3 linked regions of the Arabidopsis thaliana genome follow. The protein of the gene in region 1 interacts with the protein of each later gene in a pairwise test. Each region holds a gene or a part of one and is shown in the gene's direction. Other genes may lie near its edges.

The links.
Region 2: the proteins of PGLCT (region 1) and ANNAT3 interact in a protein complementation assay, tested with the Arabidopsis thaliana proteins (one large-scale study listed by BioGRID).
Region 3: the proteins of PGLCT (region 1) and CAM4 interact in a protein complementation assay, tested with the Arabidopsis thaliana proteins (one large-scale study listed by BioGRID).

Annotation. Positions count from the first base shown.
Region 1 is NC_003076.8:5,270,647-5,276,373, forward strand, and holds PGLCT (plastidic GLC translocator), read left to right. Parts: upstream 1-1,829; 5' UTR 1,830-2,007; exon of another isoform or gene 2,008-2,248; 5' UTR 2,249-2,257; coding exon 2,258-2,513; intron 2,514-2,656; coding exon 2,657-2,771; intron 2,772-2,843; coding exon 2,844-2,911; intron 2,912-3,023; coding exon 3,024-3,156; intron 3,157-3,239; coding exon 3,240-3,339; intron 3,340-3,439; coding exon 3,440-3,552; intron 3,553-3,633; coding exon 3,634-3,727; intron 3,728-3,801; coding exon 3,802-3,955; intron 3,956-4,073; coding exon 4,074-4,220; intron 4,221-4,295; coding exon 4,296-4,369; intron 4,370-4,473; coding exon 4,474-4,562; intron 4,563-4,645; coding exon 4,646-4,760; intron 4,761-4,849; coding exon 4,850-5,032; 3' UTR 5,033-5,166; downstream 5,167-5,727. Other genes in the region: AT5G16140 (Peptidyl-tRNA hydrolase family protein), read right to left, coding at 76-149, 225-275, 365-432, 516-600, 680-871; AT5G16160 (uncharacterized protein), read right to left, coding at 5,167-5,209, 5,293-5,446, 5,527-5,590. UniProt on the Arabidopsis thaliana protein: May be involved in the efflux of glucose towards the cytosol.
Region 2 is NC_003071.7:16,199,116-16,203,170, forward strand, and holds ANNAT3 (annexin 3), read left to right. Parts: upstream 1-1,828; 5' UTR 1,829-1,970; coding exon 1,971-2,046; intron 2,047-2,136; coding exon 2,137-2,282; intron 2,283-2,357; coding exon 2,358-2,591; intron 2,592-2,681; coding exon 2,682-2,894; intron 2,895-2,985; coding exon 2,986-3,078; intron 3,079-3,171; coding exon 3,172-3,375; 3' UTR 3,376-3,554; downstream 3,555-4,055.
Region 3 is NC_003070.9:24,773,759-24,777,894, reverse strand, and holds CAM4 (calmodulin 4), read left to right. Parts: upstream 1-1,910; 5' UTR 1,911-2,109; coding exon 2,110-2,185; exon of another isoform or gene 2,186-2,353; coding exon 2,354-2,383; exon of another isoform or gene 2,384-3,090; coding exon 3,091-3,464; 3' UTR 3,465-3,635; downstream 3,636-4,136. Other genes in the region: AT1G66420 (DNA-binding storekeeper protein-related transcriptional regulator), read right to left, coding at 1-711.

The DNA of each region.
Region 1 (5,727 bases):
TGTAACAGATATAAAAGGTGACATCAGTTAATATATCATAGAACACATTTAGATGTTCAAGAGGTATATTCATACCCGTTGTGATAGCCTTGACCTCCTTTCGGTTGAAGTCTCAAAACCCCATTTGGTAAAGCCATCTCATCGTAAATCTAGTAGAGAGAAACAAAAGTGTTCATATGGAACATAGTTCTGGATTCAAGGGATGCTTAAGTCAGTGACTTTACCATTAAAATGTGGCGCAATGGTACTCGATAGTGTGAAGCTAGAGATCCAACCTTTAAAACGACAACAGAACAGTTTCAGGTATGATGATTATTTGATCACGCAGCTGATCTTTGCAAAGTTATGAACAGAAAATACAAACCGATTCGCCGCTGAAGTTCATATAAGTCTGAGGTTTAGCCAACAAGATAGGTACATCTTCAATAGCACCTGTACTGATTCATACATAGAACCAAAAAGTCATCAGTTTTATTATTCTTCAAACCAAAGAACCAAAGCAAGAGAAGTAGAACCTATTCCGATTAGAGCTTTGGACTGTATAGTGTTCATCAACACCCCTTCTTTTCTAGCCAACACATCGATCATCTCGAAACCAACCTGAAAACAACACAAAGTTGTAGCATTGCCAAGATCAAATCCAGCAATTAAGTAAAAGAAAAAGATTGTGTATCATTACATTGTGTCTTGTTCCATGATACTTGTTTCCTGGATTGCCCAACCCAACGATAAGCCAAGGAGTGTACTCTACTTTGAATCTATCATCCTCACCACCAGAAGTAGATGAACAAACCCGAAACCTCTGTTTCCGGAAAACTGGCTTTTGCGTTTGAAAATGGTAAACACTTGGTGTATACGTTGGGCACAACATGGAACTGTTGTTGATTCAAAGACCTATTGAAATTGAAATGACTAGAAACTTTGAGATTCAATACTTGGAATATACATAAAGATAAAAGCTTTTCAGGATATAATGAAATTCGAAATCATATAACAACTGAGAATCAAAACTTAATGAAACCCATTAACAGAGATACAGCGCAGATAAAAAATAATTGAAGTGTAATCGAACAGAGGACTCAGCAAAATTTCTGGAGAATCAGAGATTAGCAATGAGCTACAAGGATTACACAAAAATGTATTTGTGGTTTATATTATGTTATAAATTTTCAGTAGAAGAAGGATAAGTGAGAAGGAAAATAGCTTACCTCTTCTTCTTCAGGATTTTTCGAAACAATTTCGGAATTTTCTTTTGCGAAGACGTTGGAACGAGATAGAAGTAGAACGATGAAATACTGAGACGAAGATGTTAGAAATTGGTCCCGTTTTGTATTAATGGGCTTACTAATATTAGCCCACAAAAATGATGGGTTAAATAATAGTGGCCCAAGTTACTATGATTTTTATACGTCACCGTTACTATGCTCAATGGCGGCACGTGAGTACTATTGAATAACACGTGCGGCTATATACGTCATCCAAAATCTAATCCAGAAAATCCAACGTTGCCAAATCGCCAATCCTGCGGCTCTTACGTAACTCTTTTACTTCTTTTTTTCTTACCCTTTTATCGACTAATTTATGTCGAATAATAATTGTAAATAATTTTCTCAATTTATAAACTCAAAAAAATTTCCTAATTAGTCCCGCCACTTAGTTCGATTTAGTTGATACTGGTTGATTTATTCAAATTTCCTAGCAAATATTACAAAATTACCAATCCAAAATTGAAAGTTGCATCACATGCATTAAATTTCATGATTTCTTTAAAATAAGAAATGAAAATACTCTATTTTCCGTATGGTTTTGGATAAATATGAATTATTACACAAAAATCCAAAACTAATAAGGAAACAAAATTGCATTATTTATTTTTTGGTGCGTTTTAATTTTTTTTTTTAAACGACAATAAGCTCCACAGTGAGTTCTTCTCAGCAATCACAATCTATCTGGTTTAAGCCCTCACTATCCTCTCTCTCAAATCGCGGAGTCTCCGAAGTTTCTCTGGTAATTTTCAAATCTGAAGTTTTGCTTTGGATATCACGATTTTTGTTAATCAGCCGCGATCGAGAAGAGCGTTTTTACTCTCTCGTTCGCATCAATGCAACATATTTCCCAATTTCGTGATGTTGCGTCTTCATCGTTCCTTACTTCTCTCTTTTTGAGTTCTGTTTGGTATAAATGCGATCCTTTTTTTTCCTTCCTTGCCTAATATTTCTCGTTTCCTTGCAATTACGGTTATAAAAAGTCAGACAAAATGCAGTCGTCAACGTATGCGGTTAAAGGAAACGCTGCGTTTGCGTTTCAGAGACGGACCTTCTCTTCTGACAGATCGACGACTTCTACCGGAATTCGCTTCGCTGGTTATAAGAGCTTAGCCACCACCGGGCCACTCTACTGTTCTGGTTCTGAAGCCATGGGAGCGACGCTTGCTCGTGCTGATAACGGGATCCAGAGCGTTATGAGTTTCTCTTCTGTCAAAGCTCGATCGGTCAGAGCTCAAGCCTCATCTGGTTCGTCTCTTCTAATGCTCTTCTATCTTTGTCTATCATTAGATTCTGTGATTGCTTACAAGTTCTTAAATACAATTTGAAGAATCTAATGTATAGTTTGGGATTTGGACTAATCATCTGATGGTTTGAGGAATGAAATGTAGATGGAGATGAAGAAGAAGCTATACCTCTGAGATCTGAAGGGAAAAGCTCTGGAACAGTTTTGCCTTTTGTTGGTGTTGCTTGTCTTGGTGCTATACTCTTTGGTTATCATCTCGGGTATGACTAAATACTACACTGTTTTTATCTTGGTGTGATCATGGATGATGATGTTCTATTGGACTGAATCAGGGTGGTTAATGGTGCTCTTGAATATCTTGCTAAGGATCTTGGGATCGCCGAAAATACTGTTTTGCAAGGCAAGTATATGATGATCCACTTCTTTACTCCTCCTGTCAACGGTAAAATGATTCGTGTTTTGATTAGTAGCCAAACTCATAATTGGTATTCTCTATGATTGGTGTTGAGCAGGATGGATTGTTAGTTCTCTGCTTGCTGGTGCTACGGTAGGTTCATTCACTGGAGGTGCATTAGCTGACAAATTTGGACGAACAAGAACTTTTCAATTGGATGCTATCCCGCTTGCCATTGGAGCTTTCTTATGGTAAATTTTCAAGCACTAAGCCATACCTATTGGTGAGACGTTAATTGATTTCTTAACGCATTGGTTCTTTTTTTATTGATTAGTGCAACAGCTCAGAGTGTGCAGACTATGATTGTGGGACGTCTGCTCGCTGGAATTGGAATTGGAATCTCATCAGCGATTGTACCACTTTACATATCTGAGGTTGTTTAAATACTGATTTTCATTATTTTTGCACTTTTAGCATAAGATGTTAGATTTGTTTATATGTTATGTCTCTGAAGCGTTTGATGATGGTTGTCAGATATCACCAACTGAAATCCGTGGAGCACTCGGATCTGTGAACCAGTTGTTCATCTGTATAGGAATACTTGCAGCCTTGATAGCTGGATTACCCCTTGCAGCAAACCCTCTATGGTATGTAACATCCCTTTTTTATTCATCATCTTTTATTTTGGGTTGCATACTGTGATAAGTTTTGATATCGTGGTCTTCTAGGTGGAGGACGATGTTTGGTGTTGCAGTTATCCCTTCCGTTCTATTGGCCATAGGAATGGCTTTTTCTCCAGAAAGCCCAAGGTGGCTCGTTCAGGTACTCTCAAGGAACAGATCTCAACACTTAAAATGAGATCAATTTTTGACAAGTCAAGGAAATCAATTTTGCAGCAAGGAAAAGTCTCTGAAGCTGAAAAGGCGATCAAAACTTTGTATGGTAAAGAAAGAGTGGTTGAACTAGTTCGCGACTTATCAGCCTCTGGCCAAGGTTCTTCTGAGCCGGAGGCAGGATGGTTTGATCTATTCAGCAGCCGCTACTGGAAAGGTATAGCAAGACTTGGTGGAGATACATTGTTTAGTTTGTAATAAAAGCTGACGGATTCCTTTCAAAGGTCATATCGGATTGATCAATTTACATAGTTTCTTGTCTGTTCTTGTTGTAGTTGTAAGCGTAGGTGCGGCTCTCTTCTTGTTTCAACAGTTAGCCGGGATAAACGCAGTTGTGTATTACTCCACATCGGTATTCCGTAGTGCGGGAATCCAATCAGATGTTGCAGCCAGTGCTCTCGTTGGAGCATCAAATGTCTTTGGTTCGTTTCCCCGTTATGTTCTCATTAAATTCCAAAAATAACCAAAAAAATAACACGATAAAAATCTGGTCGCAGGCACTGCTGTTGCTTCATCGTTGATGGATAAAATGGGAAGGAAAAGTCTTTTACTGACAAGCTTTGGTGGAATGGTACATGTTTTTATTAAAATTCTTAGCCATATTCGAAAATCTCAACCCTCATTAGTATTACCACAACAGGACTAACTTGGATTTTATGGTTTTGTATTGAAAAGGCTTTGTCAATGCTGTTACTCTCCTTGTCCTTCACATGGAAGGCTCTTGCTGCCTATTCTGGAACCCTTGCCGTTGTTGGAACTGTTCTGTAAGTCAATCTCCTCTTAACACTTCCTTATAGTCTCTCTGTATAGGACTTGACTGACTCTTATGCTCGGTTGTTTAAATCAGATATGTCCTGTCATTCTCACTTGGTGCTGGCCCGGTACCGGCTCTTCTTCTTCCAGAGATATTTGCATCCCGAATCAGAGCAAAAGCCGTCGCTCTTTCTCTCGGCATGCACTGGGTATATACATATATCTATAGGTTTTATGGGTTCAGAACAGAGTTTCTTCTCTCTGTTTCTAATGTTTTGTTTCTCTTTTGCCCTAACAGATATCAAACTTTGTGATCGGACTATACTTCTTAAGCGTTGTGACTAAATTCGGAATCAGCAGTGTCTACTTGGGTTTTGCTGGAGTCTGCGTCCTTGCGGTCCTCTACATTGCAGGAAACGTCGTCGAGACTAAAGGTCGATCACTGGAGGAAATAGAGCTTGCTCTTACATCTGGAGCTTGAAATTAAACAAAAGAAATCAGCAGAACAAAAACCAGTTTGTTTCATCATTTAGTTTGTGAGTCTTTCTCTAATCTGCTACTCTTAAATTGTACAATGGACGACGTTATCAATAACGAGAAATCTTTTCATGACCACTACATGTTGGCTTTCCTTTCCCACCTCTCCCTGGTATCTAGCCTGTTTCAAAACAAAAAAAGCATGGCATTAGCACGGTTTTCTCAATATGAAAAAGAATTCTAAAATTAGCGAAATAAGCTCACCCCCAAAACAGTTTTTGTGGCTTCTTCGGTACTGTGACTACTGTCTTGTTATGATTCTGTTCTTCTAAGGTAGAAGAAGAAGAAGAAGTTGGTTCTTTCAACTTTTTAGAGCTTTCGCCATCTTCGATCGCTTTACTCTGAGAATTCTTGCTCGCTGCATTTCAGTGTAGAGCTTTTAGTCTAGTGAATATGAACTGAGAATTCTCAAAAAAAGAGAGCTAAATATATATATACCTTTAGGTTTCTTCTTATGAATCTTTGCATTAGCTTTTATTTGCATACGTCTCTTGTGTAGCTCCTGTAATCTCAACACAACCAAAATGGCTTCAAATTCAAATTGCTATGTACATAGTAATTCGGTTGAAAGAAAAAAAAAAAAAACTGGATTGAACAGTTGATAGAAATTCGAATCAAGATGATTATACGAAGTCGTGC
Region 2 (4,055 bases), on another chromosome or scaffold:
TAAGATCCATGTGTCGAATAGCTCAAATCTGAATTTGTCAATATTAAAGGCAACTAATCTCACTGAATCTTAAAACATATATAAAGATAATATCTACGAAATAGATAGTCTTTGGTGCCAAGAACAAGGTTTTTTTTTTGTTACTGCGAAACACACATGGACCTATTACAGAAAAATAATGGTTTGAATATCATGGGCAAAGGAGACAGCTTATCTCTTCTTCTCTGTTTTTTTTCTTCTCATTATGTCCAGACTGTCCCATTTCATAAATTATGCACACAATTGTAGTAGATGGCAAGCCTCAATCACATTTGTTTCGCATTATTGTGACTTGTGAGACTAATAATTAAGCTTCTATAATATATATATATATATATATATATATATATTCAACAAGTACTATCACATGTTTTTTTATAGATTATATATTGCTGAATATCTATCTGAATCTGACAATGAGATTTGAGAAGATTGTACAACCACTACATGTGTCGCTTAACCAAAATATAATTTGGTCAACCAATTAAGACCCGATTTATATAGTATATGAGAATTAGTATAAGCGATTTATACATCAAAACGTGTTTTGCACAACTTCCGCTGAAGCTGTTTAATTAGCATGTTCCTCATATATAGTTCAATTTTCCACAGCTCAAATGCCGCCAGCATATAACCCTTACGTCAAATTTCCTCATATTTTATTGTGTGTCATAAGACTTGCGTATATCCAATTATCCATACATGACACGATCGATACTGAAGAATATAATTTGAATATTAATCACGAGATAACTCACTCATTAAAATTTTAAAAAGTTTACAAGATTACGAGATACTCACTTATTGGCATTAAGAAAGTGTGAATCATTAATCAACTTACGTGTAGATTCCAGTACTTTCGCGCCAGGGTCGATTCACATTTGTTTACATTAGAGTGATCAGTTTTTAATCTACTACACACGAATTTTCCATCGAAGGATCAAAAAATTCTAGAGTATGATTATTTTAAAAAAGAAAAGATCACGTTTTACACGACGAGAGGACTAGCAATAATTTGGATCGAGGACAGCTGTGTTGAGCCGTATCATTTGCAAATCGCAATCTATTTATTTATTTGATTTGATTTGGTTATACTTAGACTTCACTCATAAGATCATCCCATCATGTTCCTAATCTTAAATGGTATTTCTATTTCGCACATGTCACAACTTAGACAGTTGACTAAATCATAACTTTATATTTAGGTTTTAAGTATTAAAAATATATCAAATTATATTATAAGTTTTGTAATCTCTTTTTGTTAGTTTAGCCTACCAAAAAAAAAAGAAATCTCTTTTTGTTAGTTCTTCTTGTCTTTTCGTAATCAACTACTATATAACCTATATATTTATTTATATAAAGACATTGTTAACTTCGTCATCAAAACCATTTATTTATTTGTCCATTTATTTGCTACCTTAGTTTATTTTTAGTACTATATGAAATATCATACATTTTATTTTATCTTAAATTAAATACGGTACAAGTTAAATTCCTCATTAAAACCATTGTACGTTGTTTTTAGTCCTGTTGTAATATCATTTATTTCATTGCAAGTTTGCAACCTTACAAAAAGTAAAAATATGAAAAGGTTATTTTGTGTTAATTGGAAATTATTACATAGTATGTAGGATATGAAAATAGGTTAGGAGAAAAGATGCTCCATAGAACTCATCAATACACACAACTAATATATGACCCTAATTTTAAATGTCCTCAAAACGAAAAATCTCGACAGAAATAGGCTAATTGCGTCATATTACAGTTTCGTCTTCGGGGGCATTTATGTCAAACACCATCCCCAGCTACATAATTACACCTCCTAAGTAAATAACTCCGCCTTGAGGAAAAAAAACTAAAACGGCTCTAAATTGAAAACAAAAGAAGAGAGAGAGAGAGAGAGACGAAGAAACAGAGAGATTCTCTCGAAAATGGCCACCATTAGAGTACCAAACGAAGTTCCTTCTCCAGCTCAGGATTCTGAAACTCTCAAACAAGCTATTCGCGGTACGTTACATCCATAGCCGCAAGCATTTGTTGTGTGATTCGATGCATTAAGACATAAATCTCTGAATGAAAGTTTTCTCATTCTTGTAGGATGGGGAACAGATGAGAAGGCGATTATACGAGTTTTAGGGCAAAGAGACCAGAGCCAGAGAAGGAAGATTAGAGAAAGTTTTAGAGAGATTTATGGCAAAGATCTTATCGATGTTCTATCCTCCGAACTGTCTGGTGATTTCATGGTAATTATTTCTCTAACATTTCTCAATCACGACTTGAGATTTTTTCTAAAAAGATGTGATTTGATTGAATTGCAGAAAGCTGTGGTTTCGTGGACGTATGATCCAGCAGAGAGAGACGCAAGGCTTGTGAACAAGATTTTGAACAAGGAGAAGAAGAAGAAAAGCTTAGAGAATTTGAAGGTTATAGTAGAGATCTCTTGCACGACTTCCCCAAACCATTTGATTGCTGTGAGGAAAGCTTATTGTTCACTCTTTGACTCTTCTCTTGAAGAACACATTGCTTCTTCTCTGCCTTTTCCTCTTGCAAAGGTCAGTCCTTTCTTCAAGATTAGATAAGACATTTTTTTGGTTTTGTTTGCCTTATGAGAAGCTCAAAATGTTGATTGTATGAAATTGCAGTTACTGGTGACATTGGCAAGTACATTCAGATATGACAAAGATAGGACTGATGCAGAAGTAGCTACTATTGAGGCGGCTATGCTACGTGAAGCCATAGAGAAGAAACAATTAGATCATGACCATGTCCTGTACATATTAGGAACGCGTAGTATCTATCAGCTCAGAGAAACTTTTGTTGCTTACAAGAAGAATTATGGGGTCACAATTGATAAGGTTCAGATTCTCATGGTTTGGTTTGGTGACTTTGGTCTCATGTGTTTGGTTTTCTTTTCTTGGATTATAACATGTTGTGTTGTATGGACAGGATGTTGATGGATGTCCAGGAGATGCTGATCTGAGAAGTCTATTGAAGGTGGCAATCTTTTGTATTGATACTCCTGAGAAACACTTTGCAAAGGTACTACACTAAACATTTGAGCAAGACTAGAGTCAAAAAGTATTTTGAAGGTGTTTTGTTTGTTCCTTAAGTTTTTGTGTTTTAATTTGGCAGGTGGTAAGAGATTCGATTGAGGGTTTTGGAACAGATGAGGATTCGTTGACGAGGGCGATTGTGACGCGTGCAGAGATCGATTTGATGAAAGTAAGAGGAGAGTATTTCAACATGTATAATACAAGCATGGACAATGCTATTACTGGTGATATTTCTGGAGACTACAAGGACTTCATTATCACCTTACTTGGATCCAAAATCTGATCGTTCTTTCGTTTCTTTGTCAGTTGTTATATTCTTGGCTTTGCTTGTGACTTGTATAATCAATCAATACATTGTATTCCAACTCCAGTTTGAATTGTTTAAAAAATAATCAAATTTCTCTTGATTCTTGCATTTTTGAATCAAAGCAAATCTATGTTTAATTTTGTTTTCAAAATTCGTTAAAAAAAAAAAAAAGACACGAGTAAAATACGGCTCACACAGATCATCATCACCTCTGCTTTGCTTTATTCTTGTATTTGAAGTGAAACGGCTAAGCGAATGTAAAAGACTGGTATACCCTTTTGTGTAACGACTATCCTCTCTGACTGGCTCAAGCTTGTTTTGGAGGATTTAAGACAGACCTATGTGTGGAGTGAATCCCAGCTCTGTCTCGACTTCCTTTCAAGTTACTTAACATTACTACTTTCATGGATAATATTGTCTCATATTACTTTGAAATCAGATACCAAAGAAGAAGGATAAACAAGCTTGAATACTCAACTAGAAGTTACAAAAAGTCGGTGAGGAAGGTCAGACAATGCTATTTTTTTCCTCATGTCATGTATCACTTACCAGAATTTACTCAAATGCAGTAAAATTATCTTACAGTAGCAAAAAAAATCCATGTTTCAAACATCAACTCACTTATCACCCTCCCGAAAGGATAACTTTGAAATTCC
Region 3 (4,136 bases), on another chromosome or scaffold:
TTTCTTCTTAAACTCCATAGGCACAACATTCCATTTACGTTTAACCGAATCCACACCAAGACTCTCAATTGATGGAAGTAGAAACGAATTCTCAAACCAATCAGAGTTTGTCACATCTCCATCTTCTTCTTTAACTTTTTTACCTTTAGGTGAAGAGCACAAGTCCGTCTTCTTAGACGTTTCTTTAGTTCCCCAAATAGACATGGCCAGTTTGAAACATTTCTGTTCATGACCTTCAGAAAAACCGTTCTTCCTTTTCCTCGTATATTTCCTCTTCAATTGGCTAATCTTGCCAATGTATTGTTGCACACTAGCCTCGAAGCTAATGGAGTTCTTGACGAATTCTATAAACCCGTGTCTATCCTCAAACGGACTTTTCCCTGTAACATCTTCAAATTTAATAATTCCTTGTAGCATAACAATCTCATCTTCCTCACTCCACAGTCTTTGAAAATATGGGTTTTTTGTCCATTCTCCAACTTTCTTCTCATCTTCTGCTGAAACCTTCTTGGCTCTCTTCGAAGTCATGTCCGTTGAGGTCCCTTCACTCCGACGCTTCATCTCAGACGGTTGTACCTTGCCGGAGCCGCCACAAAACTCCTCATTCTTCTTGGAAGTTGCACCGGTCACAAGACCTGGAGGAAGATAAATAACATCATCTTCTTCATCTTCAAAACATGTCTCCAACGGCTTGAGATGCTTCTTTGACATATCAGAATCTTCAAACTACGATTTTGGTTGTGGTGTGTAATGAAAGCTTGGGGTTTGTTTAAGGCAACTACACGAATTTATAAATTAAAGAGCTTGTTGTTTCTCGGTAGATATAATGGCCAATAGGGTATAAGTTGCTTGCTTACTTTTCTAACTTCCAAAACCCATACAATGAACGATCTTTTTTCACATGAGCGTAATGATGATTTTTTCTTTTCCCAGTAAATTATTTTGAAATTAAGAAAACGAAAAAAAACGACTAAACCGAAAATAAATTTTGTCTGAATTGTTTTTGGTAAATAGGTTAGATCATCTCCATCGGTTACAATTTTGAGAGTTGCTTTTCACTAATATAATATAAACAATTCATAAAGGAGGAGAGAGAATAACATAATTACAGAAACGTTTCTGTGCAGAGAAATTTTGAAGTAATTAGACAACTGAAAAAAAGAAAAGAATATATTAATTACAAAATTAAGTCATAATAAAATATTAGTAATTTTTTTTTTTGAGAAACTTTGAAGGTTTCTTACCAATGGAGATGACCTTAGATATTCAACAGTTTATGTTTTCAATGTTCACACACATTGATGGAAAACATGCCATTACAAAAGATGTATATAGATAATTTTGAAATCAGTTAACATACCTATAAGTGTTCAAATGATAGTATTAGGTTAGTTAAAATGTTGGCTTAACTAATTTTGTTTTTAGTAAATCATAGATTTGGAGGTAAATTTTGTAGTCCCCGAGATTTAAAATAATAACAGATTTTAATCTTCATCTGAAGAAAATTGAACAGTTGTTTTGTTCCTATCTTTAGAAACTACTAGTTCAATCCTTTTTTTATTATACAGTAAGTAATGTCAACTTTTACTATAAGATTAGGTCTTTACTCTTTAGGATAAAACTGTTTTTAAGTAAACACAATTTTATTTTAAACTCAAAAGTAAATATTTGCTTTTCAGGGATGTCAAATAAAATGATGATCTGAATAATAAAACAATGGTAATTTTGGAAAACTTACAGCTTAAAACTTAAGTACTATTGTATTATTGAGGATTGTCTTATTTATCATTCAAAATTGAAAAATCATTACTTTTTAAATATGTAAATTGTTTTATTAAAACATTTTTAAGCCTTAATGTGTATCCAAGGGCCCTTTGGGCTTCCTCTCAAGTCCCACATCCACTAATCACATGATTAGCTAAAAACCCAACTAGTAAATTATTATTATTATCTTCCGTAAACATTTAATTTCGTTTTAACTTTTTCCTCATTGTCGTATAATTGTTTTTGTCGGTCGCTAAGATATTTTCACAGCTTCGGAGACTTCAGGAAAAAAAAAAATCATTTCTTCTCTGAAACGAAAAACCAAAGAAACGAGAAGAAGAAGCTATGGCGGATCAGCTAACTGATGAACAGATCTCTGAGTTTAAGGAAGCTTTTAGCCTCTTCGACAAAGATGGAGATGGTTAGTCTCAATCTCATCTTCTTCTTTTAAATCTCTCTTGATCGTTGTTAAAACCATAACGGATCTCATTTTTTCCGATTTCGTCTGCGATCAGCTTCAGATTCAGAAAATATTTGAGTCTGATTCTTTGATACGCTTTGGATTTGGTCTAATCTCTGGTTTTGCTAGATTCGATCTCTGATTCAGGTGATTCGTGTGGTGAATTGTTACTTCGTTGTTGATTGAATCGTTTGATTGTCTCTTTTGATGTAGTTTTGTTCCATCTCTAAGCATGGATTTGTGATTTTGATGTTTCTTTGAAGGTGACTTATATTGAAATGTTACTAGCTTTGTGCAGAATATCATGTTCCTGATTCTTGTTCTGAATCGTCTTTTTGTGTCATTCTTCTGTAGTTTAAGTAGGTATATTGCTATAGATTTCAGTTCAAAGATACTGTTTAGTTTTAGCACCTGTCATGCTTTTTCCATAGCCAAAGATATTCAGATTCTAGTGTTTTTATGAGATTCATTTAATGGTCATGTTTTTGGTTGATTAGTGGCTTTTTTTTGCTCAAAAACGTTTAAACAAAAGACCTGGTTTCATTCATGTTTCGTATGTATATCAATCTGACTTTGTTATGGGAATCTACTTGTAAGGTGGTATGTAGCTACAGGTTTAAGTTCTCTGATAATATTTAGTTTCGTATGAGAAGCAAACAGTCATGTATAGTCATGTATGTTTTAGAACAGATCATGAGTTTTCCATAATGAAAGATTCCAGAGTCTAGTGCTTTTTTTTTCTGGCATCCATTGATGGTCATGTGTTTAGCTGTTTGTTGGCTCTTGTAGCTTAAAAAAGTTTTATTGGAGACTTATTTATCACAAGACCTGGTTTTTATTCATGTTATCTTTTACTGATTGAACAGGTTGCATCACCACAAAGGAGCTGGGAACAGTGATGCGGTCACTAGGGCAGAACCCAACAGAAGCTGAGCTACAAGACATGATCAACGAGGTTGACGCTGATGGAAACGGAACCATTGACTTCCCTGAGTTCTTAAACCTAATGGCTAAAAAGATGAAGGACACAGACTCGGAGGAAGAGCTGAAAGAAGCTTTCAGGGTGTTCGACAAAGACCAGAACGGTTTCATATCCGCTGCAGAGCTTCGCCATGTGATGACGAATCTAGGTGAGAAACTGACTGATGAAGAGGTCGAGGAGATGATTCGTGAAGCAGATGTTGATGGAGATGGTCAGATAAACTACGAGGAGTTTGTCAAGATTATGATGGCTAAGTGATGATGATAAGAAAAAAATGAAGAATAAAAGTGGTGATGTGATGACCTTTTAGGCTTTTACTATCTACAAAAGAATGATTCGACCTTTAATGTCTTGGGTTTGATTTGAGCCTAGTAGTTTCTTAAGGTTTTAACAGACTGAATTTGTGACTTATCTTTTTTTATTTTGTTGGTTTCTTTCTCGTTGGCATAATGGCATGTTTAGATTTCGGTAACTAGAGTGGTCGCAAAGCTTTTACTATGCAAAAAGTTTACTTAACAAGCCTAAGAAGACTCGATAGTTTGTTGCAAAACTCATACATCGAGATAGAGTGAATACAGAAAGAGAAGCAAAATCAAGTGTAAAACAACCATGGGGTGTTATAAGCCCATTTATAGGCTAAACTCCCATATAAAGAGTCGGACACAAATAACCGACCTAAATTCGAAGGAACCGAATTGAACCAGAACCGACATGAATACTCGAATGGGTCCTAAACTGTTACATTCGAAGATCCAATATCAAATCCCAGCCATCCGAATCAAGAACCGAATGGGTATCCCAAAAAAACTGAAATACAAGTATATACCCAAAAATATAGTTATATTTACACTTGTAGTCATTCAAATACCCAAAATTACAATGATAAACTTGAATATACTCCCTTGTCAATACGAGAGGTCAAAGAAGATG